Coturnix japonica: one gene and its partner. The protein of the gene in region 2 interacts with the protein of the main gene of each other region in a pairwise test. Links are inferred from orthologs where the notes say so. Each region holds a gene or a part of one and is shown on either strand. Other genes may lie near its edges.

Region 1 (12,618 bases), on a different chromosome or scaffold from region 2:
ACTCCGTGTCTCTGCTTTTTCCTTTTGTAAAGGTACAAACAGATACTTCCAGACAATAGCCTCGGAAATGGGCTTAAAAATAGTTTTTGTGGACTGTACAAAATTGAAATGCCTGGAAGCTGCAATTACACCTGAGACTAAGGTAGGGGAGAGAGAAATTGCTGAGCTTATATGCTTAATGACCTTAAATAACTTTATTGATGCTACTGCTGGCTGGTATGTGGCAAGGTTTTGGTGATGGAAAGGGCTCAGGCACTGGGTGGAGGCAGGAGGAGAGAAAGAGTAGGAAACAACAGAGGGAACCGCAAGATCAGAGGAGGAGGATGGAGGAGGGGGAAGAGATGCACAATGGCACAAAGGAGAGAAGTTGCCCTCTGGATGGTAGGGAGGAAAGGTGTTTCATTGGCAATAAATTAAACTGCTTTCTCCAGGTTGCCCATGATACCAGTTGGTGGTTGGTCCGCCTGTCTGTTGTGACCTACGAGCATTCTCATTTGAGCCTTGAGTGTCTGCCTAGCGCAGGGATCATAACTGGCCCTATGATGGGCTGTTATTTACTGTATAAAATAAAACAAATGCAGTGCCTGGACATAATTACTTTCTGAAATCTCCAGGAAGCATTAAATAATTGGACAATTTCCAAGTGCCTTAAGATTAGAAATAGGAGAACATCCCTAAGCAGTAAGGGCTTGTTCAGAGAGATGTGTTGCCTCTTCCTATTGAGGAGGAGAAAGAAGTCTTTTCTGATACCTACGTTACTGTTGGCAGTCTAAAGGAGCTTTTTTTCTTTTTCTTTTTTTTTTGGGGGGGGGGGGAGTTGCAGTTAGTGACACTGTAACCATGATATGAAAATGAATAAGGAGTACTTTGGAACAGTAACAGTTTTAGAGTAACATATAGCAGAGTAATAATTCTTTAAGTAAATACAGTGTTTGTGATGGTGGAACTGATAGTAGTAGAACTGTCCTAAAAGATACCGATGGTGATTAGTGGTGGTAACAGTACCTTGTGTTTATTTGTGAAGCCTGGGTATTCCTGCTTTGATAGGTTTTTAGGTGGGTACCTTTAAAAATTCGTAAGAGGTGGGAAAGTTTTGCTTTTGGCGCTGCATTGTGCATGTCTGGTCACCAGCACTGTCGTATCCCTAAAGAGATGCTTTGTATTGTTGAATTACTACAGCTTGTTTGGATTGAAACGCCCACAAACCCCACGCTGAAGGTCATTGATATTCAGGGCTGTGCTGATGTGGTCCATAAGCATAAAGATATTCTTCTGGCAGTAGACAACAGTTTTATGTCTCCATATTTCCAGGTAAGTGCTTGCTTTCCTTGTAGTTACCCTGGCATTTCAATGTCTTCAAAGATGCCTTTTTTAAAATGGAACCACTGCTAAAACCGTCGTTTTGATGTGTGTGCTGTAAAATTGCCTCTAAATGCAAGCAATGCGCTGCTTCTTTATAATTTAGCAGAGATGGCATGCAAAATACTTTATAGCTAGCTATATGCCAGTCTGACACCAACAAAAGCAATGTGGCTCACAGCTTAAGTAAACAAGCTTATGCAATCAAGAAGGTAAGTTGAGCCATCAGGACGAAAGCTACTCTGTCACTCAGAAGTCTTGTGTTTTGTAGATCTAACAGGTGGGAATCCTAACAGACCTACTGAAAAATGTATTGTTCTCCACCTTTGTCTTTTTTTCTACCAGTTCTTCTGCATGTGCTGCTTGAGATCTGTTTTTGGTATTCCAAAAAGGAAGTGGAGAGAATGGTTAAAAGAAGAAAAAGATTTTAACTGTGTCTTTCAGGTGTTAAAGTTAACTTTTTCACCAGTATTTTGATGAACAGGTTTTGATGTTGGACAACTCATACAACTTTTGTGCTTTAATAACTAGAATACAGGAAGTAAAGGGAATTCCAGAACTCTAAAAGTACTTCTAAATAATGAACTTCAAGGTCTGGTTCATCTCAGTGTGGGCTAGAAGTATCCCCATGTATTTCCCCAGAGATCAAAGAAATCCCTCATCTTTTAGGTCTTTAGGTCTACAAAGAACTTCTTTTTGAGTGCAAGTAGGGAAGATGTCTTTTTTTCTGTTTTCTTTTTTTTTTTTTTTTTTTAAATTTTTTTTATTATGGTCACTGAGATCGTTATAAATTAAGAGAGCCCTACAGGAAGTGTTAATGCTTAGCTAGAGCAGCTCTTGAGCTTGTCTTGTATATACCAAAGATGCTGGTTTCTTTTCCTTTTATTTATTTTACTGTTGAAAGATGTGTGTGTAAGGAGAAGAGTCAGCATCTGTGTCTGTGAGCTAGTTAATGTATACTTCATTGGACTGGTCCTCAGAGGGAGTCAGTAATGATTAAGCCCAGTAAGCATAATAGGTAATGTTTTTAAACTCCTCCAGACTCCTGAGTGTACTAAGAAAATCATAATTTTAGAGTGATTTATGTAGCAATATTGAGTATAAAAGGCACTGGTGTTTATGCTACTGTTCTCTTGGCTGCACAGTGGGAATGCACATTATCCATGTTCCTGCGGTAGACTTACGTGCTTAAGCTGACAGCAACACTCTTTTATTCTAAATCTGCTTGCTTTGTCACCTTTTAATGTATTAGTACTCTCCAGTCTTTATAATCTGTTTATTTTATACACGTAAAGTCCTTTACTTAGGGACTAATTAAAAAAAAAAAAGTTCATAACTTCTTGCCTAGTGTAGTCTTGGTTTGACTCTCGCCTGAGAAAGGCTCCTAGGCTGAACATTGAGCACACCAGGGATGGGAGACTTGGCAAACAACGCCCTCTGTGCTTTCCTCAGGTGTCCAGCTGTCCTTCCAGTGCAGTAGCAGCAATGTGGGTTTCTGGAGAACTGAGAAGAGCTCTGCTTAGTGTGGAGGCCTTCCTTTTCTAAGGAGATACGCTCGAGGCAGCATTACATGGCACTGCCTCAGCTAAGCAACATAACTGGTTTAAGAACGAAGTGCTTTCTTTTACATCTGGTTTTTGTCCCACTTTCTATCTTTCTTCACTCTCACTTTTGTGTCTTGCTTTTGTTTTTCCTCTTAGTTTCTCTCTCTTGTAACTTTCTGTGCTTGATCACAGTGTTTCTGGGCAGCTTGGAAGGAACCAGAGCGCAAAAGTAACTTTAATCAAACCTATTATTTTCATTTCTTTTTAGCGTCCTTTGTCCCTGGGAGCTGACATCTGTATGTATTCTGCAACCAAATATGTGAATGGTGAGTGCTTGGGTCCAGCACAACTCAGGCTGTTACAGAAAACCCATTTAAAAGCTACTGCAGAGGTTTTCTGCTCTCACCTGTTGATCCACTTCCATGTCTCATGGATGCTTTTAAACTCCCTTTTGCCATAGATAAATCCATAGGTAGTAGCTGTTGCTATTAGCACCAACAAGCAACATTGTGCAAACACAGTTTGCATGGTGATGGAGCCCAGATGGTTGGTTTTAATAAGAAAAACAAATCTACAAGATCAGAGTCTTTTTCAAACTTGGGCTCCCTCCAGGCTCAGCTGGTCTTACACTGTCCCACATGGAACAGTCTTGAGCAATGAAAAGCCAAAAGTGGCTTTTGGAAATGCACCATGCACATGCACTGAGCCATAAAACCAAATGTGAGACTTCAGTACAAGGTCGCTGCTGGAATTGATACCAAAGTTGAAGGCATGTTTTATGTGGCGGTGCTGGAGCCTGTTCAGAAGCACATTCACTGTGTTGTTTCCTAAACAACCCAGGCTAAGGGGTGGCCCAGCAGTAACAGCTGTGCTGTGAGCATGTGTCTGCTTGTGGTGCAGACTAAAGTGGAAGTTTTCTGCTTGGCTGCAGCTCCACAGGAGCTCGACGGTGGCTGGACAAAGTCCTGCTTCCTGGCAGCTCACTGCAGCATGTGATGGGACCTGGAGCACCAGCACAGTGTGTGTCAGAGCACACTGCTGACCCTCACTTCAGATCATGTGGGAATCTGCTTATGTTCCACATGACAGCACAGCAAGGGCAGCTGTAGCAGCGAGAAGGAATCCAGCATGTTGCCAAAATGGGACTATCTTAGCACCAAGACTGAGAAAAGAGAGGGTTTGTGGAGAACCCTGGTGGAGATAAAGTGGCTCACTTTCTTCTTATGTTCTTGCATTTTTAGGGCACAGTGATGTTGTGATGGGGCTCGTTTCAGTAAATCGTGATGATCTGTACGAAAGGCTGAAATTCTTACAAGGCTGTAAGTAGTAAATGTAGGAAATAAGTTTAAATATATTGTATTCTGATGTACCAGCTCATGCTAGGAAGCATATGGCATGCACACAAGTACGTGGCACATCCAGAAAGCATCAGGTGCAGAGTGGCTCAAATGTGCAGTGCCTGCAGTTACACGGGGCATGGCTCTTCACCAGGTCTCTCTTCAGGTTAGGATTAAGTCTATGGCAGAAAGAGCACAGGCATTTCCTGGATTTACCTGACTTCACTCACAAAAAGGTTTGCAAACCTTGACATATTTGGTGAAGTTCATCCAATTCATGCTAATTATATTTTATTTTTAAAAACTATCCTCTGATGTGAGTTTTAATGATTTTATTGCCTCTTAATTATATTGAATAAATTTCCATGCAGTGTCCTCTCTACAACAGAAGGAATAAAGGTACACTGTACCTAATAAATTTTGTGTGCAAGTCTTCAGTGTGTTAATTTATCTCACTAATTGGCTTCCCATGTGTGTGAAGCAAGAGCAGCAGATCGTATCAGATGTCTTCACTCGCGTCTTGTTGTAACTTAAGAACGTTGGGAAGTTTGGACTGTAGTTTCACTGAAACAAGCAAACAAACAACAACAAAACCAACAAGAAAACCCCTCTTTGTTCCATGTGTGGTTTTGTGTCTCAATTCCCATAGCAATCGGAGCCATTCCGTCTCCCTTTGACTGCTTCCTCTGCAACCGGGGTCTGAAGACTCTGAAGCTGCGGATGAATCAACACTTCCACAATGCTTTGGCTGTGGGTCGATTCCTTGAGTCAAATCCCAGAGTGGAGAAAGTCATTTACCCAGGTAGGTTGGCAGAACTGCAGGGTCTGGGTGCTGCGCTGCTACGTGCCGCTTGAGCAGCCTTCACGTCTGATGGCTCGTGGTTAGGTATCTCGGCAATGAGCTTTACATTCCTTCCCATCAGAAGGATGTTTTGTGCAGTTCAGGGTGAGCTGCTGTACCCTTTGATGTGATGGTAATTAACTGACAGTGGCTCCTTCTGATTTCAGGATTGCCTTCCCACCCCCAGCACCAGCTGGTCAAGCGGCAGTGCACCGGCTGTTCAGGGATGCTGTCATTTTACATTAAAGGAAACCTCAAACATGCTACTATCTTTCTGAAGAGCATAAAGGTAAATGATGGCAAATACACTCTACTTTAATGTGAACTGAATCTGTCCTTCTGAGTGTGATGATGGAAGCAGGGTTTATTCTTGGGGCAGGGAGAGTCTTCCTCTGTACTTTTAAAGCTCCTAATTTATTTTGGGTGTAGCCATCTCTAAATAATAGATTGTGCATAAATTAGACGCTAATGAGAGGGAAGAAAAGGATATTTCAGCTCATTTGAGGTGTCTGTTTACACAATGTGGTGTAACGTCTCCAGGTTAGCCCAGGCATTGCTTCTAACCAAGAGCTGGCCTATTCTAATTGCCTGCAGTACTTGAAGGCAGAGTGGCTGGTGCAATACTGCTGTTGAATTTCAAAGCACTTGTCAAGACATTCTTCAAAACGGTAAATGAACCTAATCCAGAGTTAGGTTTGCTCAGCATGGGCGTACAGTTTTGCATCTGCAGTTCTTCAGAGCTGTTTTGAAGTGAAATCTTGATGGCTCTTAACCACTAAAAGTAATTTTCTTCTTCATTATAGTTAATACTTCTTAAAATACAGAAGTCACTGTTGAAAACCATAGGGAAAATTACGTACTAAAAATGGAGGTTTCTTTTTCTTTCACTGTCTATTTCTAAGCATTAATAAACTTATGCTTTTTGTGTTCACTTCTGTTTACTGTTTCCCTGTAGGTGTTCACACTGGCTGAGAGCCTGGGAGGATATGAAAGCTTAGCAGAGCTTCCGTAAGTCCTTCTTCATCTTAACAGTCCTAAAAAAGCTGCAGAGTAACAAAATTCCTCAACTTTTTTTGTGGGAGTTCTAAAATGTTCAGGTATACAAAGCAAAGATAGATTGCCTACAATTGTCATCCAAGAATAGCGTGTTGTGTAACACAAAAATGGAGACTTCTCCAGAAATGAATTCCCTCTGTGAAACAGGAAGGCCGACTGGTGTGAGGTGGGCGTGCAGACCTGAGGCTGTGCAGATGTCTTCACTGCTGCAGACGTTGGGGTTGAGGCCTGGAAGGCTCCCCCTCCCTCCCCAAGCTCTGGATGTTGGTCACCCATCTGCTCGGGTGGCCCCAGCAGCTGCAGCAATTTCTTGCTGTGGGATTCTTCCAGAATCACCTGTTACAAAAATCTCAACAGCAAACGGGTTGAAAGGGGAGGAAAATGTTCATGTGGTTTAAATAGTGTCTGTCCTGACAAGGCTAAGCTGTTCTGCACTTGTGGTCTCTGCACATATGCAAAATAGCACTGCCCACTTGCATTCAGTGGGCTCCCCTGAATGCACTGTGGAGAGGCGAGAAGTATGACATGCAGTAGCGGGAGCAGCCCATGGAAGCTGCCCCAGGGAGATGCGTTGTCTGCACAGATGGCTCCAAGTGCTGTGCCTGCATCTGTACTTGCCTGGCTCTCCTGGCTCAAGCTAGACCTGCATTTTAAATAAACATCCAAGCACATTCATCAACACTCTCTTTTCCATTTCCTCAGTCACCCTGTGGTGCTGCTGGCCATGGCTGGAATTTCTCACTAGCTCTTGGCTCTGCTGAACAAATCATTCCAGAAGCACTGTGCATTTTAGCAACAGATTTGCATTACTTTCAGCAATACTACTGCTGCCAATGTCCTCACTTAGTGCTGTAGGTGGGAGACTTAGCCACCGTTTGGTGTTACGGTAGCAATTCCAAGGAGTCAGGGTGATTTAGAGCAAGTAGAATCGAGTGGATTTGGCTACACTGCCGTTCTAGCTGCTTACACAAGAGGGCACATTCAGTACGTTGCACTGAACCGAGCCTGTCTGCATGCTCAGCAGACTTGGTGGGGATTTTAGTAGTTCGTAGGCACCACTGTCCAGGTTAAAGGGTTACTAGTAGGATTCTTCTGTAATGAGATTGCTTTGCTGAAATCTGATTTGCTAGTCAAAAAATACATGGAAAGTTAAGGTTAAAGATCTGTTAAATCATTTTGGTTTCTCATTTTGGGATGAGGCATCTTTAAACACTTCAGCTGTTGAAAGGTAATTGCAGAGTAGTGGATGTCAGTGACAAATGGCTTCTTAGCTTCCTTCATAGCTGGGGAGAATATTCTTCCACATGCATGGTACAGTGTGACGGGTGATCTGAGGAACCAGAAGTGAGAAACAAATATCAGGGGATTTCATAGTGGAGGTGGCACATGTAAACCTTTCCCCACATGCTTAAAATAGAGCTTTTAGATGCCACTTACCAGAAATGTTAGCATATGTCTGGAAGGCGGAGAGAAAGTGTTTTTCTCAATTTCAGTTCCAGATTATTTAAGTATCCACTTCTTACTCATCGTTCTTTGGAAATACTGTACTGAGATTCCGGGAGGTGGAAGCCACTGGCTTCACCATGGTTGGCATAAGGTGCAGTAATTGATGATGAAATCTCTTTTGGTCTATGGTTATCCAGCAGGTGGCATGTCAAAGGTGTAAAGTCTTCTTGGAACTACAGGGAATGCTGGCAGGTGATCCATTTCCTTGATTTTTTCAAGTAAAAATAACGTACCTTAGGAAAAATTCTGCTTTCTTCCATCTTCTTGCAGGGCTGTCATGACTCATGCTTCAGTGCGTAAAGAAGACAGAGAAGCTCTTGGAATCAGCGATACATTAATTCGCCTGTCAATTGGTTTGGAAGATGAGGAAGATTTAGTGGAAGACCTAGACCAAGCTCTGAAAGCTGCAGTAAGTTGGCTGCTAGCTTAGCGCCTTTACTCTGAAAAGGATTTCCTCCCTAATTCTCGGCCTTTCTCACTAGTCACATGTGAACTCTTTCAGCATCCATCCTGAATCTCAGGAATAAGTTAATGAAGTGATGCAGCAGCTGTCTCCTCATAATTCTTGCTTCACTTAACTTTTAAGTGACTCAGAAGTGTACTTTATGGAGTCTTTGCAGTCCTCATTAGTCACAGTTCATGTGGATTCCTGCTGCAAATAGGATGTCCTTGGAGCCCAAACAGCTAAGACAGCTGCTTGAGTCAGCCTGAATGGAGACTCATCAGGCATCCAAGTGCTTGGTGGGAGTGCTTGCACTTCCACTTTGTCATGTCATGTCAGAGAGCAGGGTGGCACTGAGGGGGTAAAAAGTGAATGTGGGTTGTGCACCGTTTTTAGCAGGTGTGTAGCAGTTTGATGTACTGCACAGACAGGAAAGTGTTGTGTCTAATTGGTTGTGTGAGATGCCTGTAGCAACCAGCATCAGAAACTACATGTGTTTCTATACACCAGCACAGATGATGAAGAAAATCTAGTGCTTAAATGTGTCCTATTTCTGCAAAAGAAAAGAAAACAAAAGAGGTACCTGGTCATTGTAAGAGCACAGCCTAATTACTCACATTTCTCCTTCTCACTGTAGATCCCTGACCCTAAGGCTTTGAAATGATGGCTGAAACCTGGAGACATCTAAAGAAGATGATGCAGAAAATCAAACGGCTGACAATTTTTCTTTGATATACCTTTGAGAACTGAAATCTATTCAATCAAACTCTGGGTTCCTGGGGAGCTGTCACTTTGTGGTACCATGCTTGTTGGGCTCGTGTCTGGTTGTGCACGTGCTGTGCACTGTGACATGAAGCCTGTGCTGTTCTGTGTGTCCATTTCTGCTGTGCTGTGACCCTCTTTCTTTGGAACTGGTGGGTCAGTAAGTTGTGTTTGAGAGCAGCCATGAGACACACTCAGGAATACTGTCATGATTCTCTCCAGGGAGATGGATGTTTCCCATTTGCCTTACTAATGCTTTAGGGGTGCCGGATCAGTAGGGTTTGTTTCTGCTAATGCTCTTTAGGATGCAAATTTCTGTTTTTCTTATCTCTTCTAATCTAACTGTTTAACCTAAATATTGCTGATAACGTTTAGATTTTCCTTTTTAATGAGGTTTTGAAATCTGGTTTAGTACTTTTTCATCTTTTATGGGATATTGAAGCAAAATCCAATGTCTGGTTAAGAATTGCAGCTTTTTAAAGGTGATTCTCTGACCTAAAAAAAAAATTATAATGTGCTAACTGTGGTAATGATTTGGTTTTTAGAGTTAGGATCGTTTTGATTAAAACACAATTTGAATCTCTCTGATTTATTCTTGTTGTGATATTTGGGTGCGCTGGTCGCGTTCTGGATCGGTTGATAAAGTGACCCTCAATCTGTTAAAATTTATAGTTAAATTTATAGGAAAATGACATCATTGATGTAGTGGAACAGGTTGCCCAAGGAGGCTGTGGATGCCCCATCCCTGCAGGCATTCAAGGCCAGGCTGGATGTGGCTCTGGGCAGCCTGGGCTGCTGGTTGGTGGCCCTGCACACAGCAGGGGGTTGGAGCTGGATGAGCACTGTGGGCCTTTGCAACCCAGGCCGTTCTATGATCCTGTGATGTTTTACTTTCATCAAGAAATAGAAATTCCGACACGCTAACTGCAGTGCTCAGGCAAGCAAGGCTTTCCCTTGGACAGGAGGGCGACTCACAGAAGGGCACCTATTTGCAGATGAGGGCTGTGCTGCACGGAGATTCTGCTGTGGCCTTTGGCAGCATCCACACCAGGCTCAGGCCCAGCAGCTTTCTCAGCCAGGCCCGGGCTTTGCTTTTCTTCTCTTTCATTTTCCTAATGGGAGCTGATAGGAAATGCTGCTTGACGACTTCTCTCTCATCAGCTGTTCAAAAGCTAGAAGCCGAGATGAAACACATTCATTTGCATCTTAGCCCTAGAAGTGCTAATTGTGATTCATTCTCTGCTAACCTGTCTGGAAGGAGAGTGAGACATCACAGATAGATGTTCATTGACTTCTGCAGAATGAGCATTGCTGCTGAGCTGTCGGGATAGACATGCATTTGACCCTAAGTATAAAAGCATCATTTGACATCATGACATTAATTCCACAGGAAGAACTTCAGCAAATAATTCTTTTTATGTGTAACTATGGGTACAGCTTTATAACTATTGATCCACTCGGGTACCCAGAAGACAGAAAATACAGCCACGGTGGATTATTCACTCTTCCTTTTTCTCTGTATTGTTGTGTTTTGGCAATGACAAAAGGAGAACAAGCATTCCCCTTCTTTGTTTCTTTTCATAACTTCATAACTGAAAAAGACATGAGCCCTGTTTTCTCAGAAGTTGATTTTGCTTCTTCAGAAGTGACCGTGGTATGGAGACAGCAGGGTTTCTTTGGCTGTCTTTTGTATATATTTAAAACAAGAAGTGTCGAGGTGCCCCAGGTGGAGCCTGGTGAAGGGGCAGTGGATGCACTGGCTGTGCTCTGTGTGCCAGTGTTCCCATGGCTGCAGTCTGCCGATGCTGCTGGTCAGCCAGGGCCTTTCCCCAGCTCTCCTGCAAATGCCTCCATCATAGAATTTAACCTCTTCTAATCTGCTTCAACTGGAAAACATAATTAGCTTCTGACTGTCAGTTCTGCGGGCACTGAGGTGAGGCCCGAGGGAGCCATCACTTGTATTTCACCGTGGAAATTTCTGCAGTGGATTTGTCTCAGAATAAATTGCTCAGTGACAATGTGAATGACACAGAACCAGTGCAAGTGGTGAGACCAGGTCAGGGATAAATGTGATAAAGGTGGGATACTGTCAGCAAACGAGAATGCTTTGAAACAGGCAAAATAAGTGAGGACGTCTAACAAATGGTCCATCAGGGCTCCCTGTGGACTGCAGGGGGTGAATCGTGGTCTGTCTGGTGTTTCACAGAACGTTCTCTCTGAAGGTAAGAGGACTTTCATCCTCTGATTAGATTTTGGGCATGTGGCTTCAGATTGCATTACACTTCAAGGGAAAGTTCTTCTTTTATGTCGGGTCCCAGATTGTGCTCCTTTTGAAGAAAAATTACATTTGCTCCCCAGAAAATGGTTGTGTAGTGCTTGGCCCTAGGAGTGAGGACAATTAGAGAGCATCTGGGCAGAGGAGATGAGTGGCCTAATGGCATTAGGAGCGAGGTGAGCCATACGAGGTGTGATCTGTCCTGCCCTGCTGCCTGCGCTGTGCAGCATTCAGTGCTGGCCGATGCTCGCATGTGGCAGCAAGAGGAGCCCACAGCTCCCTCCAGGCCCAGATTCCTCACACTTGACCTCTTGCTGTTTTCTGGCCGCTGTCACATTTGCAGTGTTTTGATGGAGGTTTTTTTTTGTTTTCCAGCCGCAGCGCAGCCAAGAGCCGCAGCACATTAGTCAGATCAGTTCTTAGAAACTCCAAGCTTTTACTTACAGGAAAGTTGCTGTAATTGAAATCTGCTATTTGTCATAATTATGTAAACTAATATATGTATAAAATATCAAGTGCATATTTTCCATCTGGATGATGGTGCTCAGTGTGAGTGCAGGCCCTGGCAGCTCCACTGACCCCATGCCTGCGGTGCTGCAGGTCAGGGCAGGCAGATGGCTGCTATGCAGCATCCTGTGTGCTGACTGCTGCTATGGGCGTTCACTCCAGCAAGGTGAGTGCAGTCCTGTGTTAGCACAGCTTGCTTTGCCCCTGCAGCCCTGCCTTTGGGGAGCACTGGAATGGAGTGTGAGGCTGAGAAGCGCTTCATGATTATTTTACCCACTGCCGTGTGTGGCAGCTGATTTACAAATGCCGTTTTCACTCCCTCATGTCAGCTCCCTTTAGGAAAACATCCTCCCACGTCCTGCCCAAAGGTTGTGCAGCATGAGGCAGCAGCAGGAGGCTCCATCACACAGCCACACCTCAGCAGACCCACAACACAGGTCCCAGCTTAGGGACACTGTGCTCAGTGGGCCAGGGCGCTGCTGGGGGTGAGCCTGGGACTGGAGCTGTGTCCCCATCCCATTGCATGGGACCCTGTGATGCTGTGGCAGCACTTCAGAGTGGAAAGAAGTCAAGAATGAGGGTTAGAGTATCTGATCTGTCTGTGGTGGACATTCATTTGTCTACAGAAGTGTGGTCCTTGTGAGAGTGAATGTAAAGTGGACTGGAAGTGGAACACGTTGCCCAAGGAGGCTGTGGATGCCCCATCCCTGCAGGCATTCAAGGCCAGGCTGGATGTGGCTCTGGGCAGCCTGGGCTGCTGGTTGCTGACCCTGCACACAGCAGGGGGTTGGAACTGCAGCTCCTTAGCTTGTGTCAGCACTGAGCTAGTCTGTAAATTACCAGACCTCTGGAATGGGAAACTCTGCATCTTTCTTAGGAGCTGCAAAGACTGCAGTTATGGAAACTGTACACATTTCTTTAAGTGTATTTCTAAACCTTTATTGGGATCCGAGATCTGTAATATTCTAAGGAGCACAAGAAAATGAAGA
Region 2 (12,911 bases):
TTAGTGTAGTGGCTTAGTAATGGGAAAGCATCATGCATTATTTAGAAGCAATGAAGTTAGTTGTTTTTTTCTATTTGTTTGATAGATTTGAAAGCTGTACTGTACATGAAAAATAACTAAAGGTCAAACTTGCAGTTATCTTAAGATTGTGCTGTAAACTGCTTGGGATGAGATACTGCTTGAAGCGCTGCAAAGGGACAGCCACAGGAAATAGAACCGAGTACTATGGGGAACTGCATGTGAAGTTGTGTAGTTGTTTGCAAACATTACATGTTTATTAAACATTTCTTTAAGCACACCATGACTTGGGCCATTTCTATGGCTCAAGTTACGTAGCTGCACCAGATGGCAGCAGGACCCCGGGACTCTCTCGTACTCAGGATGGACTTCTTGTCGTAGAGATGGATTTAAATCTTTGCAGACAAGTCAGTGACAAATGGAATTTTAAGGTAAGCCTAAATATAAAGAAATGCCTGTTTTTAAGAACAATTCATGTATGGTATTAGAGCAAACAAGCTTTCCTAGCAGTCGTGTAGCATTACAGCAGTTAAAAGGCAGCCTTCCTTCAGCAACCCACGGCTTAAACTGTGGAAAGAATAGAATGGTTTTGAGGATGTTGTGGAGGCTAAAGGTATAAATGGGTACAGAAAGGGAATAGTCAAATTCAGGGAAACCAAGGCAATAGCCTTGAAATGAAGAGCTTACCTTTGTGTATGTGCAAAAATCTTACAGTGATAACTTTCTGGATTTGTGGACATGCACGTGCTACAGAGGAAAAAGAAGCATAGTTTCTTTGAAGCGTCCTGATATGCTTTTGAGTTAATCTCAACCAGATCAAGGCAATTGCAAGTCTTTCTGTGTGGTTTAACATGGCTTAGATGTTTTGAATTCTCAGCCAAAGCTAATTTGGGTTATGTAGGTGGTAGGTGGATGGTTGCATTAGAGGATCTTGGAGGACTTTTCTGTCCTTGATTCTATTGTTCTATGAATTTGGAGTACCTCCTCCAGCAGCATTTAAGTGCTCATTTAAGTTGTTCCCACCTCAAGTATATAAAATAGATAATAATTTGCAAACAATCTTGATGTTTTAGTTAATCAGTTCTTAGAGCCAAATTTCTCTGTGAGCACTGCTCATCTGTATATAGGCATTAAATGGTAAAGCAGTGTTAGGTCCTTTTCTGTACAGAATTGCATGTGATGTGTTGCAGGTACGTGGTAGGCATATGGTGGTTGGCCTAATGGGCTTAAATTGTGCAGTGAAATCCCTTGGCTTCTGAGTCGTGCAGGCATTTATTTAGTTATGCTTTACAACTGAAATCTTAAGCCATCTTTGCAGAGCAGAGATGTAATGTGGCAGGAAGCATATGGAGCATTGTAGGGGCATCCAATCAAAAGCAATTGTATTGATTAGGAGACAAAAAAAACCCAGTAAAAGCATTAAAAGCAAAGCACTGACCTTTAGCTGTCTTGTATAGAATATTTTATTTTTATTTTTAATTCAATTGTGCTCTCAGCACGTTGCAGTTTTCTGTTGATGGTGTGCATTACCACCATTGGTCTTTTGGCACATGAGGCACAGCTGTGGCTTTTGTTTACATGACAGGGGATATCTATATAGTTTTCCTCTCATTTGTGGCCAAGACAGAGATAGTGCTTTGATATGAGGAGAATAAGGAAATACAAAATCATTTGTCCACTGCAGAAATCCTTTTGTAGTGCTTAGGCACTTAGTTAACTTGTCTCAGTATCTGCTATTTATACCCAGTGAAACCCGAATGGGCCATCAGTAGCACATCAATATAAGATTTATTGGCAACAAAACAGTTATATGGGTTGTCCTCATTACATGCTGGCAAGAGAGGAGCAATTCACTTTGCAGACTGTGCACTTGGGAAGAGGATACCAGAATGCAGAGTGTTGTATCCCAGTATCCTAGCTTGTCCTATAACTCATCATCCAAATCTACAATAGTTTGTACTACTAATGGGTGAACTGAGAGTAACCAAATCCCCTCAGTGATGCATATGCACACCTGCTGCTGGCAGTTGGTTGAATCAGTTGTCAAGGACATCATACAAAGACATAAATTGTAGGTACGCTCCTTTTCTATCCTTGACATAACTGACTTAAAAGTGAATGTTGTTGATGAGTAAAAAAGCAAGCCTGATTTTCACCTTCAGCTTCCAGCTATCCAGGATGTTAAAACACAGCCTTAAGTCAGCAGACTTGAAGGACTTTCACTTTGGAGGGTTTGCTTTTTGACTGAATTCTCATCTTACTATTTAAGTCAGTTAACTATTATGCCTACATTAAGAAACAAACACATGGTAGATATTGCTTTTTTATGGACATATTTTCATAGCTAACGGAACTGAAGCTTTGATTTCCTTTTGCAGATGACTGGTAGATATGAAATGTATGCAGACGAGCTCACTGAAGCAGTCCAGCCTTGTTTTACACCCAACATAATCCGAGAGTGAGTGAGATCAGCTTAATACAATCAAATGGTACAAAGCAAATGAAAAGGTGCAACTTTGCATTAATTTACTACGAATTACAAGTTGTTATTTTCATGTTATTTTAATTCTCTGCAAATAGTAGGGTTCAAAACTATGTGAAGTAAAATAATAAAAAAATGAGTTCTGTTTGTTAGTTCTTTTTTGTTTGCACTAATGATTCCAAACCTTTGTTCCTTGTTAGAACTATATTCAATGAAGAATACATCGATACACAATGATGATGGCATTTATCCAGTATTGTCTACAGGGTTGCACAGTTTGATGGAGAGGAGATTAAAAAAAGATTTTATATATAAGTATTTTGAGTTGCATGTCTGTCTGCTTCTGCTTTCCAGTTTATACACTCTACCCAAATGCATAATTGAAGGAGAAAGGAGACATAAACTGTTTTCATGGTTTTTGGTTGATTTTTGTTTTGTTATTTTTTGCTTGTTTCTTTGTTTTTAATTGCCACCCATTTAATGCAGTTCTGCTAGAGCTAAATATCATCCCACGCATGTCCTAGTTGTTTGGAGATCTGTGTGTCCTGTAAACTATCACCACTTTGGTTCTTTGTATTTCCTGTCACACTACATATATTTCAGCCCTAGTTGGACCACTGTCTGGGATGGGCACGTTTGGGGTGTAAAAGCAGGGCTGGAAGGCAGATGCTTTTTTTTTCCTACAGGTACATAGGCAGGAGGAGACAGGCCAAGGACAGTGTTCCCCCTCTGATGAAAGGTAATGGGGAGCTGGCTTCCTCAGACACAGAAAAAGCTGAGGTACTCAATGAGTGCTTTGCCTCAGTCTTCACTGGTGGTCAGGCTTCTTGTGTCTGCCAGGACCCTGAGCCTCTAGGTGAGGGTGTGGGGAGTGGTTTCTGTCCCACTGTAACAGTGGATCAAATGTTTGATCTCCTAAAAAGGAGAAATCCACACAACCATTTAAGCTGTGCCAGTTAAGTATAAAACATACCCTCTAAAGATTTTCCAACGTTTTTCATAATAAACCAGTAGATAAATATACCTGCTACGTCACGTTACAGGGTTAACCATGACTTAAAACCTTTATTGAGAATGGCTTAATTACAAATAAAAATATATTTATGTATAAAATCCCTGCATGTAAAATACCCCCTCCTTTGCTATGGACAGCATGAAGGAAACAAAGTGATTGACTACACATTTTCAGAATGAATGTTTTGATGGATGATCTTCCCATGGAAAACAATATGCCACAAAATGCAGGTGTTCTGGACACTTGGCCAGTGAGTTTCTTTTTGACCTGATTTTGTGTCATTTAAGTAAGTCACCTTTTTGCTTCCCTCCTTCTTCTTCCTTGTATTTTCCTCTCTCATTACCATATTCTATTTGGCTATTAGAGATCCTGCTGTAGTAAGCGGAGCTCCCATTTCATCTGTATTAACATAAACAGCTTTGGTTCTGTACATTTCAGACCATTTACCATGCCCTTAAGTTCATGTTTTATATACAAGCTCAAGGTTCACATGTGGAAGCTAACGTCAGTTACACATCTTTTGTAAGAATTTATTTATCTATTTGCTAACCAAGCCTGCTCTAAAAAAATTAATTCTGTGGCAGTTCAATGCTACTCAATGGACTACCTGAAGGAAAACGCCTGGGTTAAGAAAGTAACTATTTTTATCAGCCTGTAATTTATATAGCTGTTAATTATTAACATAGTTAATACAATCCCTCTAAGCCAAACATTGTGAATTTGAACGTGGATATAAAATTTCCAAGACCGGTAGCCATCTGCTGACTAATGTCGGAGGGATCGTGTACTGTAGGATTTGTACTCTGATCATTTTCTGGGTTTCTGCTAATATAGTGGTTTTGCTGATCACAGATACATCCCAGTTTTCATTCATTTTGCATGGACAGCTGCCAGAATGTAATCCAGCTTCACCCTGATAAACAGGATAAGGTACACTGAGAGTTTCTTATTGTGTACACCTTGTTCAGAACTTCTCAAAGCATTTTACACTTACATTGCTGTTTTTTGGCTTCTGTACAAAGGAGTGCTTTTGATTTTACTATGCATACTTACTGCATGCTTTCCAGATAGTCTGCAGTAAACCAGCAATAGTAGAAGATAGTTTCTCTCAGAAATTTCCTCATGCTGAAAGTATTTCCCCCACTAAATAACAATATCCTTTTATTGTTATTCCACACAGTTCCAAAACCTGAACAGTTTCGTTCCTAAAGCCATGTCAGGAGATCTCTGCCTGAAGTGTAGAACAAAATGTTGCCAGAAATACACGAGTACTAACAATTTTACCTACCTGTCAGAAATTGTGATGGCCAAATCTGAAATAGGTGGCTATTTCTACACCTTTACAGTGCTCCCCAGCATGGTCACTAAACCCTGGTAATACATGACAGGATTATGAATGGACTACTAACAATTTCACTTGAAAATGTTTGAACAGAGCTCCCACTTAATCCAAATGCAGCTGCAGTATAAGTTTTTTGGTTTTTTTTTTTTGTTGTTGTTGTTACTGCAGCAAAAAGAAGCTTGTATTCACAGTATTCTTAATTAAGCTCTTCTGAGAAGCTAGCTAAATGAAAGCAAATAGGGAAGTTTGGCTCAAAATATGATTCAGCATTTTAGTTACAATCTAGTCTCTCTTGTTATTTAAAATTTACACACAAAACATGCACCGTTAGTGTGTGGATGATTTCTGTATTTGCTTCATAAACATATATTTAGATTGGGTGCATCAGATAATTGCACATATGGGTGCAATAATGTCTAGAGGATTTTGCAAAGTGCAATGAAGACTCCTAGGTCCAAATAAAATATCCTTACCTAAACGTTTGAGGTAATACAGAGCCCTAGACAGTCACCTAAAAATATTTAGCCAAAAGAGATGGAGTTTGCAGCACAAGGGAACAATCTCAGTAACTGCTATTCAAAACTGAATCCCATGTACTATAAATGCTAAAACTGTGCAAGGTGAATCTTGTGGGAAGCTTCCTTGAGTAAATGTTTCACTGTTGTAATACTGAGTGGCCAATAAGGCAATTCCATCATTTGAAGGTAAGGTGGTTTAACATCAGTATTTCTTTGTTTCATTAATTCCCTGCTGAACCTCAGATCCTTAGACTGAGGATGAAAATCAGCCCCTGCTTGAAAGAGAGTGAAACAGGTATTGTCTATTCTTTTTCTGCTTCTGTTTACCTAGACATACGTATCTATTACTGAGTGTTGAACTTGATAAATTTGGTGCTTTTTTTCCTCATGCATATCATTTGAAAATAAGCTCCAAGTGAACAGGCCTTAGGCCTGTATTTCAAAACTGCTGTCAAATGTGCAGTGTTAAAAATGAGGGGAAAAAAAACACAACTATGACATACATTGCAAAATCAGATATTTCATCCAGAATAAAAAGGTAAAGACAGCATTGCAATATAGTCCTATCAATGTCTATAAAACCTCCCTTGTTTAAGATCCCACTGCAGTTCAGGAGGAAGGTCTCTGCAGGGGGTGGCCTGAGACAAGCAGCCAGCTGCTGTGCAGGCTGCACCAGAAAGGACCAGAAGTAACAGCTGTGGGTGTCAGCTGTCTGTGTAGATGAACAGAATATCCTCATCTGTGCCGTAGCTTCTCCTGGCTTCTTCAAAGTTTCTGATGCTGGTGCAGCATGTCCCTATTTAAAAGAGGAGCAAAGTGTTAGTAAAAATTAAGATGCTTGCGAGGGGCTCTTATTCTGGGTCTAGCAGACTCTGCAGAGAAAGGTAACTAATATACTGACTAGATTTATCATCTTATGTTACAGCTTCACTCAGTGAAGTTTATCTTCTCATCTAAAAGACATTGCTCACAGAAGTAATGCTGTGAATAGGTATTAAATTGGTTATCTTGCTTTACTCAGCACAAAGGTACAGTTCAGCACCTCTCAAACCACTCTGAGTTTGCTAGAATGTGCATCTCAGCGTCTGAAGTAAATCACAGAACAAATGGCTGCACTAATTTAATGAGTGTAACAAAACCTATTCTGACAAACTGTTTAGTAATGCTTGAAATAAGCGCACGCTAAAATGGGAAGTCCCCATTAGTGTGGCTTTGCATTATGGAAATGTTAGTGATGAGGTGGCTGAGAATTCACCCAAAAAGAGCAAGCTACTCACGGTCAGCGTAGGCAGGGTTGTTGTAGTAAATACTCCCTGAGGCTGTATTGTAGCCACATAACACAATGAAATGGCCCTGGTAGTCAGGATTCCTGCAGAAGCACTTCTGTCCAATGGGTAGGAAGCAGCAATATTTGACAGGACTTGAGCAAAGGTCACACAGCAACAAGACTGCATTCACTAGAACAATGGCTACGTGACCTTGGGACAGGTGTTTTTGGATGTCTTGAACTGTTACTGTGCTGTGGGGGGAAAAAAAACAGACAGGTTTTCAATGATGTTAAAACCTCCAGGGTTTGCTACAGAGAAAGCCTGACCAAATTCAAGGCCTTTGGATCTCACTGCTGCGTTTAAAGTGCAGAGCAATAGCACTGAATTCTGCACTACTAAAAGTGTAATATCCGAATGTATCACATGTCTGGGATAAGAATATTAAACGAACTGGCAACTTAATAACTTGAGAGACTTGTGGGGAAATCTTAAGTGAAGTGTTCCATCCTGCCATTAGAACTTGACAGTTAAAGACTGTATACTAACTTAATTACACGCCCAAATTGCCTCTCTCCCTGACACAGAGGAGCTGGAGTTCTTTTGCAGCTGTGTTTCTATAGCACCTCCTACAGAGAAGAAGAATTAATGAACCATAACCTAAAATCTCATTTGTTAAAAACTGTCCTTCACTGTGTACTCCAGATGGATTAAAACTCATCTCTTTGATGTGTTTTAGATGTAGGGCTGTGTGTTACACATGACTGAACTTGTGCTTTTTAATCTTCCCACTGTTTCTTCTCCTGTTTGATGCCCCAAGCATCAGGTAGATATTCACTCTGTCCCTGCCTTATCAAGAACATGATCCTTAAAAGCAAGATGGACCAACTGTCCCTTCTCTGTTAGCTTCAGTTAACAGGTAGTACCATGCGGACTCTGTGCCATATAGACTGTGAAAAAGAACACTAGTAGTCTACTCCCGTCAGCATTTTCAAATCACTCTGTCATCATTATTGCTCCTCAGACTTCACTGTTAAGTCTTTACATCCATTCTTTCAAGACATTTAATAAAAAGACTAATTCACAGAAAGGCTGAAGGTCTCATTTCAGCCTATCTTTCACCAGTTCAGCTCAGTGACTAACATGGGATCCAGAGTCTCCAACAAGAGAGAAGAGAACAATAAGCTTACCACTTCTCCACCAGCACCTTGGAGGCTTTGGCTTGTGCAAAGAGCTGATTCACTCGATTTTCTTCTGTGTCAAAGTGCTTCCTGTAAAATGACTGGAGACAACAGAAGTTGTGAACTAGAATGGCGTTCACCTAAGGTAATCCACTTCACCATCTCTGCTAGCAAGGCCCTGCATTCATTGCTATTAAGATAAGAATTCTTGCTCTAATTTATCACTTTAATTTCATTCCTGGTCTCACTTATTGTAATTTCCAAGCAGTGGCTCTTCAGCTGGCAACATGAAGGAAGTCTCTCTGGTTTGTATTGGGCAGAAGGCTGTATCACAAAAGCTAATGCTGCTGTAAGTGCTCACTAGCAAACTTGGAAGAGGCCAAGCTCTCACGGACACGGAGGCTGAGCTGGTCTCTCACCTCTAGAGGTGGTTCCTCCAGGTCTGGGCTGTCATGGTGGTGGGGAATGTTGGAAGCTAGTACTGCTGCTGCCCAGGCTGTGCCTGTTCCATAGGCAGGTAGAGGGCTCCAGTCTCCAAGGATGTTAATAATCTGTAACTTTTCATGAACGCTACATGAAAACTTTAAAAAAACAAAACAAACAAAAAACTTTATATTATGAAATCAAAGATGTAAACAAAGATGGGAAGATATCTAGTTTCTGCTTTGGAACAGATCCATACCAGTTCGGGCAGCGGGCAAACCTTGTTTCTGGGAGCTATATCTAACTAGCAGTAAGACAGCAGAGGTATTTTAGCATGATGCATAGGGGGCCCTTTTAAAACTGCCTGTCATTTCCCAATAAATGAGAACACTAACCTGATTTTTGTAACCCTTGTCCACTCCAAGCGTCTGGGTGCAAAATTTATGCTTAACACCAAAGTGCCGCATTAGGTAGGCCAGGTCAATGGTCCAAATACTCTTTGTTAACCGGAGCTCTTGGATGGCTTTCTGAAATTCATCATTGTCCAAATGATCCAGGTACCTATGGTATTAGTAGAGGTAGGGGAAAGGAAGCACAGATCTTAGGAGAAGCACAGTATGTTCTGTAGCCCAAACCTCCACATCCATGGGACAGAAAAACTGATACAATGGGCTTGGCTAAGAAATAAGCATAAAACAACCCACAAATGAGCCACAAAGTTAAGGGAAGGAAGCAGAGAATACATAAATGGATTTATTTCTGACTTTTCTTATTGGAAATATACAGGTATCTCAACTGCTCTGTAGTACTAAATATATACAGGATGCTGGACAATAGGCAAGCTATACTGAGCAAGTATAGAACTATCTTGAAGGGCTTACAATCTACATATACAAGGTTAATAGAGCAAATGCAGAAAGCAGCAGTAAAGACTAAAGCCTGCTCCAAGCAACAGATGAATTTCAAAAGGAGGAACTGTAAAGGAAGTTGATAAATATTCAAAGGAAGCCTGCTTAGGCACTGATGACACAAAAGGCAGTAAGGGGGGAGATGAAGTCTGAAGAAAGCTTGGGACAGGTTGCAAAGGGATAGGGAAGGGCAGTTACAGAGTTCTGGAGGTCAAAACAAATGGAATTAAACGAAGAAAAAACAAATTGAGGAAGCAGGGCAAACAAGGTCAGATCTGCAAGGTGAGAATATTAATCTTGAATGCTGAGTTTTGGACAGACTGGTGTGGCAAAGAGGTTAAAGGGAATGAAGAGGCAGAGGTTACAGAAGTCAAGATGGGAATTACCAGCACACGGACTAACGTCTTGGCAGAAGGGATGGAGAGAAATGAAAATCTTCTCCTTCATATCTACTAAGTGGACATCTAAATAGGTATTTCTCCTGCACCTAACATGTTCCTCTGTGGAAGGAAAGAGGAGTTCAGAAGAACAGCTACAGGTTCACAAAAAAAAAAAGAAAAAAGAAACAAAAAAAAAGAAAAGAGATGGCAATATAGTGCACAGCTGTGATGTTGAAACAACTCCTGGAACAAAAACCATTCACCCCACAGGCTGGGGGCTCAGCAGGACAGAGGCAGTATACTCAGAAACTAGGATAAACCTATCCACTGCATAATGATATAGAAAGGAATTACGTGACTTGCTGTGGTAAATACCAGTTCTGAATTGTAACAACAGGAAAGAGGGATAATTTCTTATCAGCTTAAGCATACCAAACTGCTTAATTGTTAGCTCAGGGCTGATCAATCAGAACAGTTATTCAAAAGGTCTTAAGTTTGTCTTAGCTTGTAATTTCCCTTCTGGATTGCTGTGCTAGGCCCTGGAAGCAGTAATTCTCCAAGGTATTCAGGGATATGTGTTCTTGCTAAGCAAAATTCACAGCTGCTCCAATACACCTCATGTCCCTGCACATTGCTTCCTGATACCCTCTCCCATGGGTTGGGATTTCCCACCCTTCCAATGAAAACAGCACTTACTGTAGCACCATCCTGGAGCAGGCCAGCCCGCAGTCCCAGTGGTACAGCTGCTGAATGATGGGCACTTTCAGCTGCACACATTCACCTGCAGTGAAAACACCCCGTGTGAGTAAAATGTAAAAGCTGTCAGTCGTTATATGGGAATGTTTTTCTGTACTTCACCATTCCAATTCAGCTTGTTCTCAGCTCTGTATTCTGTGCCAACAAAAAGTCATAGGTCAAATGGGTAAAAAACAGACACAACCAGGATCTCTAGGCAGTGATTTCTTACAAGCCCTATGGATTTCAGCCTCTTCTACTGCCATGTCTTTTTGTGAGTAATTTTTTAAGGTAAGACAGCTCACAAATGACACCATCTGTAAAAGGGCCAAAGAAGAGAGACAAAACCCAATCTATATCAAGAAAATCTGCAATATCAGTAATTCATCCTTTGTTATTTCTTTACAGGCAGTAGTAGTGGTTTCAGTTTCAGCAAAGCCCAGATTGCTTGATGGACTGAAGTGCTTCCGCTTGGCATTGTAACTTCAAAGACAATCCAAGTGAGTTAATCATAAAAGGCTTTTCTTAATGACTTTACCTTCGATCTGGTACAGACCCTTGGAAACCTTTGCTAACACAGAGTCAGCTCTGCTTTCAGATGGGGATAAAAAGCATTCAGCATCCTGGGGGCTGCTGCAGTTTCAACACAGCTTTATATGTAAAACTTTATGGACAATGTCTTGCAGTTTTAAACTGTTTTCTCACTGAGTTACGGCTTATTGCAGCAACAACGCGGTGCACTTTCTCAATCACGTCACTGGGTTTAATCATAACTTTGAAAGCTGGCACACACCCATTGGTGTACTCAGTGTTTGTTAGCAATGTTGATTATACTTTAGAAGGACAAACAGCCCCTCAAATCCCGCTTGAAGGAAGTAATGTAAGCATTGGCGGTGTGTTATGAGCTGTGTTATGAGCAGGTCCATTCTCTGTTACCATCCAGGGCCTTCTAACACCACAACTCACTGTGGATGTCCCTGTTCTCCATACACTATGACTTCAAAGGTAACAACCAGGCCCAGCGCTGCCCGCTTCTCATCCCCACCCCCAACAGAGCTGTCACGGCCCGACCCGCGGCTGTAAACAAGGCGGAGCACTCTCAGCTCCACCAAGTGCTTGACAGGCCGCCCCCGATCCGAGGCCCCGGAGCTGTCACTGACCTGCCTGCGGAGGGGGCTCCCCCGGCTCCCGGGGGCTCCTCATGACGGCGGCCGCCCGCTCACTACCCGCCCCGCCGGACTTAGGGCCGCGCCATGCCCTGCTGCGGCGACGGCTCCTCCCGGCTGCGGAGGGGGCGGACCCCGAAGCGGCTGCTCGGAGCTGGGAGGGAGGGAGCTGCCTTCGGGAGGAACAAAAGTGCAGCGGAACCATCGTGATAAGGCAGCGAGACCCTGAGGGACAGGAGCAGTAGCAGGATCCGCTCCTGTGCCCTTCCGATTCCGGGGCTCTGTGCACGGCGGGAAGGCGGCGGCCATTAGGGTGGTTGGTGGGAGGTGAGTGTCGGTGGGGGTTTGTTATAGGGTCGGTTTGTTATGGGGTGGGTCTGTTGTGGGGGTTTGTTATGTGCCTGCAGCTTCGTAGGGCGGCAGATGTGGGCTGAGAGGGTGGGCTGCCCTCAGCCTTGGGCCGGGCCTTGGGATAGGCGTGTATTGCCAAAGCACTGAGGCCTTTGTTCAATGGAGCAAATCGGCTCCTGTAGGCAAAGCCGAACTGCAGAACGACTGGGAGTTTGTTTCCTTTATTCACTTCTATGTTGTGCTCTCTGTCCCAGGAGTAGAGCCGCAGTGTTGCAGCCATGTCCATCGGGGTGCCCATTAAAGTCCTGCACGAGGCAGAGGGCCACATTGTGACCTGCGAGACCAACACTGGGGAGGTGTATCGTGGGAAGCTCATTGAGGCTGAGGACAACATGAATTGCCAGGTAAAAGAAGTTTATCTCATCTGTTTGGAAGTGGTTGCACTCAGCAGACTGACAGCGGGATTTAAAGACCTTTTACTTTTAGTCTTAGGATAAATAAAGCCCTTTTACTCTGTGCACTTACAGTAATGAAGTGAATTCCAGATTACTGAGCACACCAAATTGCTCAGAATTGGGATTTCCTGTTCCTGGTTCCTCTGTGAGCACCTTCTCTTCAGCAGTTCTTTGTTTATTGCCTGTTGATAATAAATAAACTCTAATTTATGAGCTTAGAGCTGTGCTTAATGCAGAGGACTTTAAGGCATTGCAATAGCCTTAATTTTGATAACTTCATGCAAGTTGTAGTTGAAATAAAAATGTCCTTAATAGCTGGGACCAGTAAAACTTTATTTAAACTATCTGAATAAGAAAACAAAACTAATAAAACTAATTAAGCAAGTGGGGAGGAGGGGAAAATAGTGAGTTTGCTTAAATTTTAGCAAGCTTTAAGACTGTGTTTAAATGGTTATAGATGCCTTATATAACAATAACAGTTGAAGGCTGTATGCTTGATAGGGCTTTGAGTTTATTACTTGAATCTTGGCTATATATATATTCCATGAGCAGGAGTAGTGGGAGTACAAAACTATGTTTAAGGCCACTTAAAACAAACTGTGTTTGAGACCACTGTCTGATCTTTACTTTCCAGATGTCCAACATAACAGTGACATACAGGGATGGGCGAGT

What was found.
Region 1: the proteins of GUCD1 (region 2) and CTH interact in binary tests that used the Homo sapiens proteins (3 or more experiments, as listed by UniProt). The two-hybrid records come from large-scale screens. The link is inferred for Coturnix japonica from reciprocal best matches to the Homo sapiens genes GUCD1 and CTH.

What each region holds. Positions count from the first base shown.
Region 1 is NC_029523.1:26,179,757-26,192,374, forward strand, and holds the end of CTH (cystathionine gamma-lyase), read left to right. Parts: intron 1-32; coding exon 33-142; intron 143-1,179; coding exon 1,180-1,311; intron 1,312-3,171; coding exon 3,172-3,229; intron 3,230-4,144; coding exon 4,145-4,222; intron 4,223-4,889; coding exon 4,890-5,042; intron 5,043-5,248; coding exon 5,249-5,370; intron 5,371-6,036; coding exon 6,037-6,089; intron 6,090-7,913; coding exon 7,914-8,052; intron 8,053-8,722; coding exon 8,723-8,749; 3' UTR 8,750-9,435; downstream 9,436-12,618. UniProt on the Homo sapiens protein: Catalyzes the last step in the trans-sulfuration pathway from L-methionine to L-cysteine in a pyridoxal-5'-phosphate (PLP)-dependent manner, which consists on cleaving the L,L-cystathionine molecule into L-cysteine, ammonia and 2-oxobutanoate.
Region 2 is NC_029530.1:7,449,514-7,462,424, reverse strand, and holds GUCD1 (protein GUCD1), read right to left. Parts: upstream 11,662-12,911; 5' UTR 11,639-11,661; coding exon 11,428-11,638; intron 10,314-11,427; coding exon 10,229-10,313; intron 8,806-10,228; coding exon 8,640-8,805; intron 8,403-8,639; coding exon 8,241-8,402; intron 7,923-8,240; coding exon 7,831-7,922; intron 6,895-7,830; coding exon 6,653-6,894; intron 6,172-6,652; coding exon 6,080-6,171; 3' UTR 3,538-6,079; downstream 1-3,537. Other genes in the region: UPB1 (beta-ureidopropionase), read left to right, coding at 295-449, 2,397-2,480; SNRPD3 (small nuclear ribonucleoprotein Sm D3), read left to right, coding at 12,063-12,188, 12,874-12,911.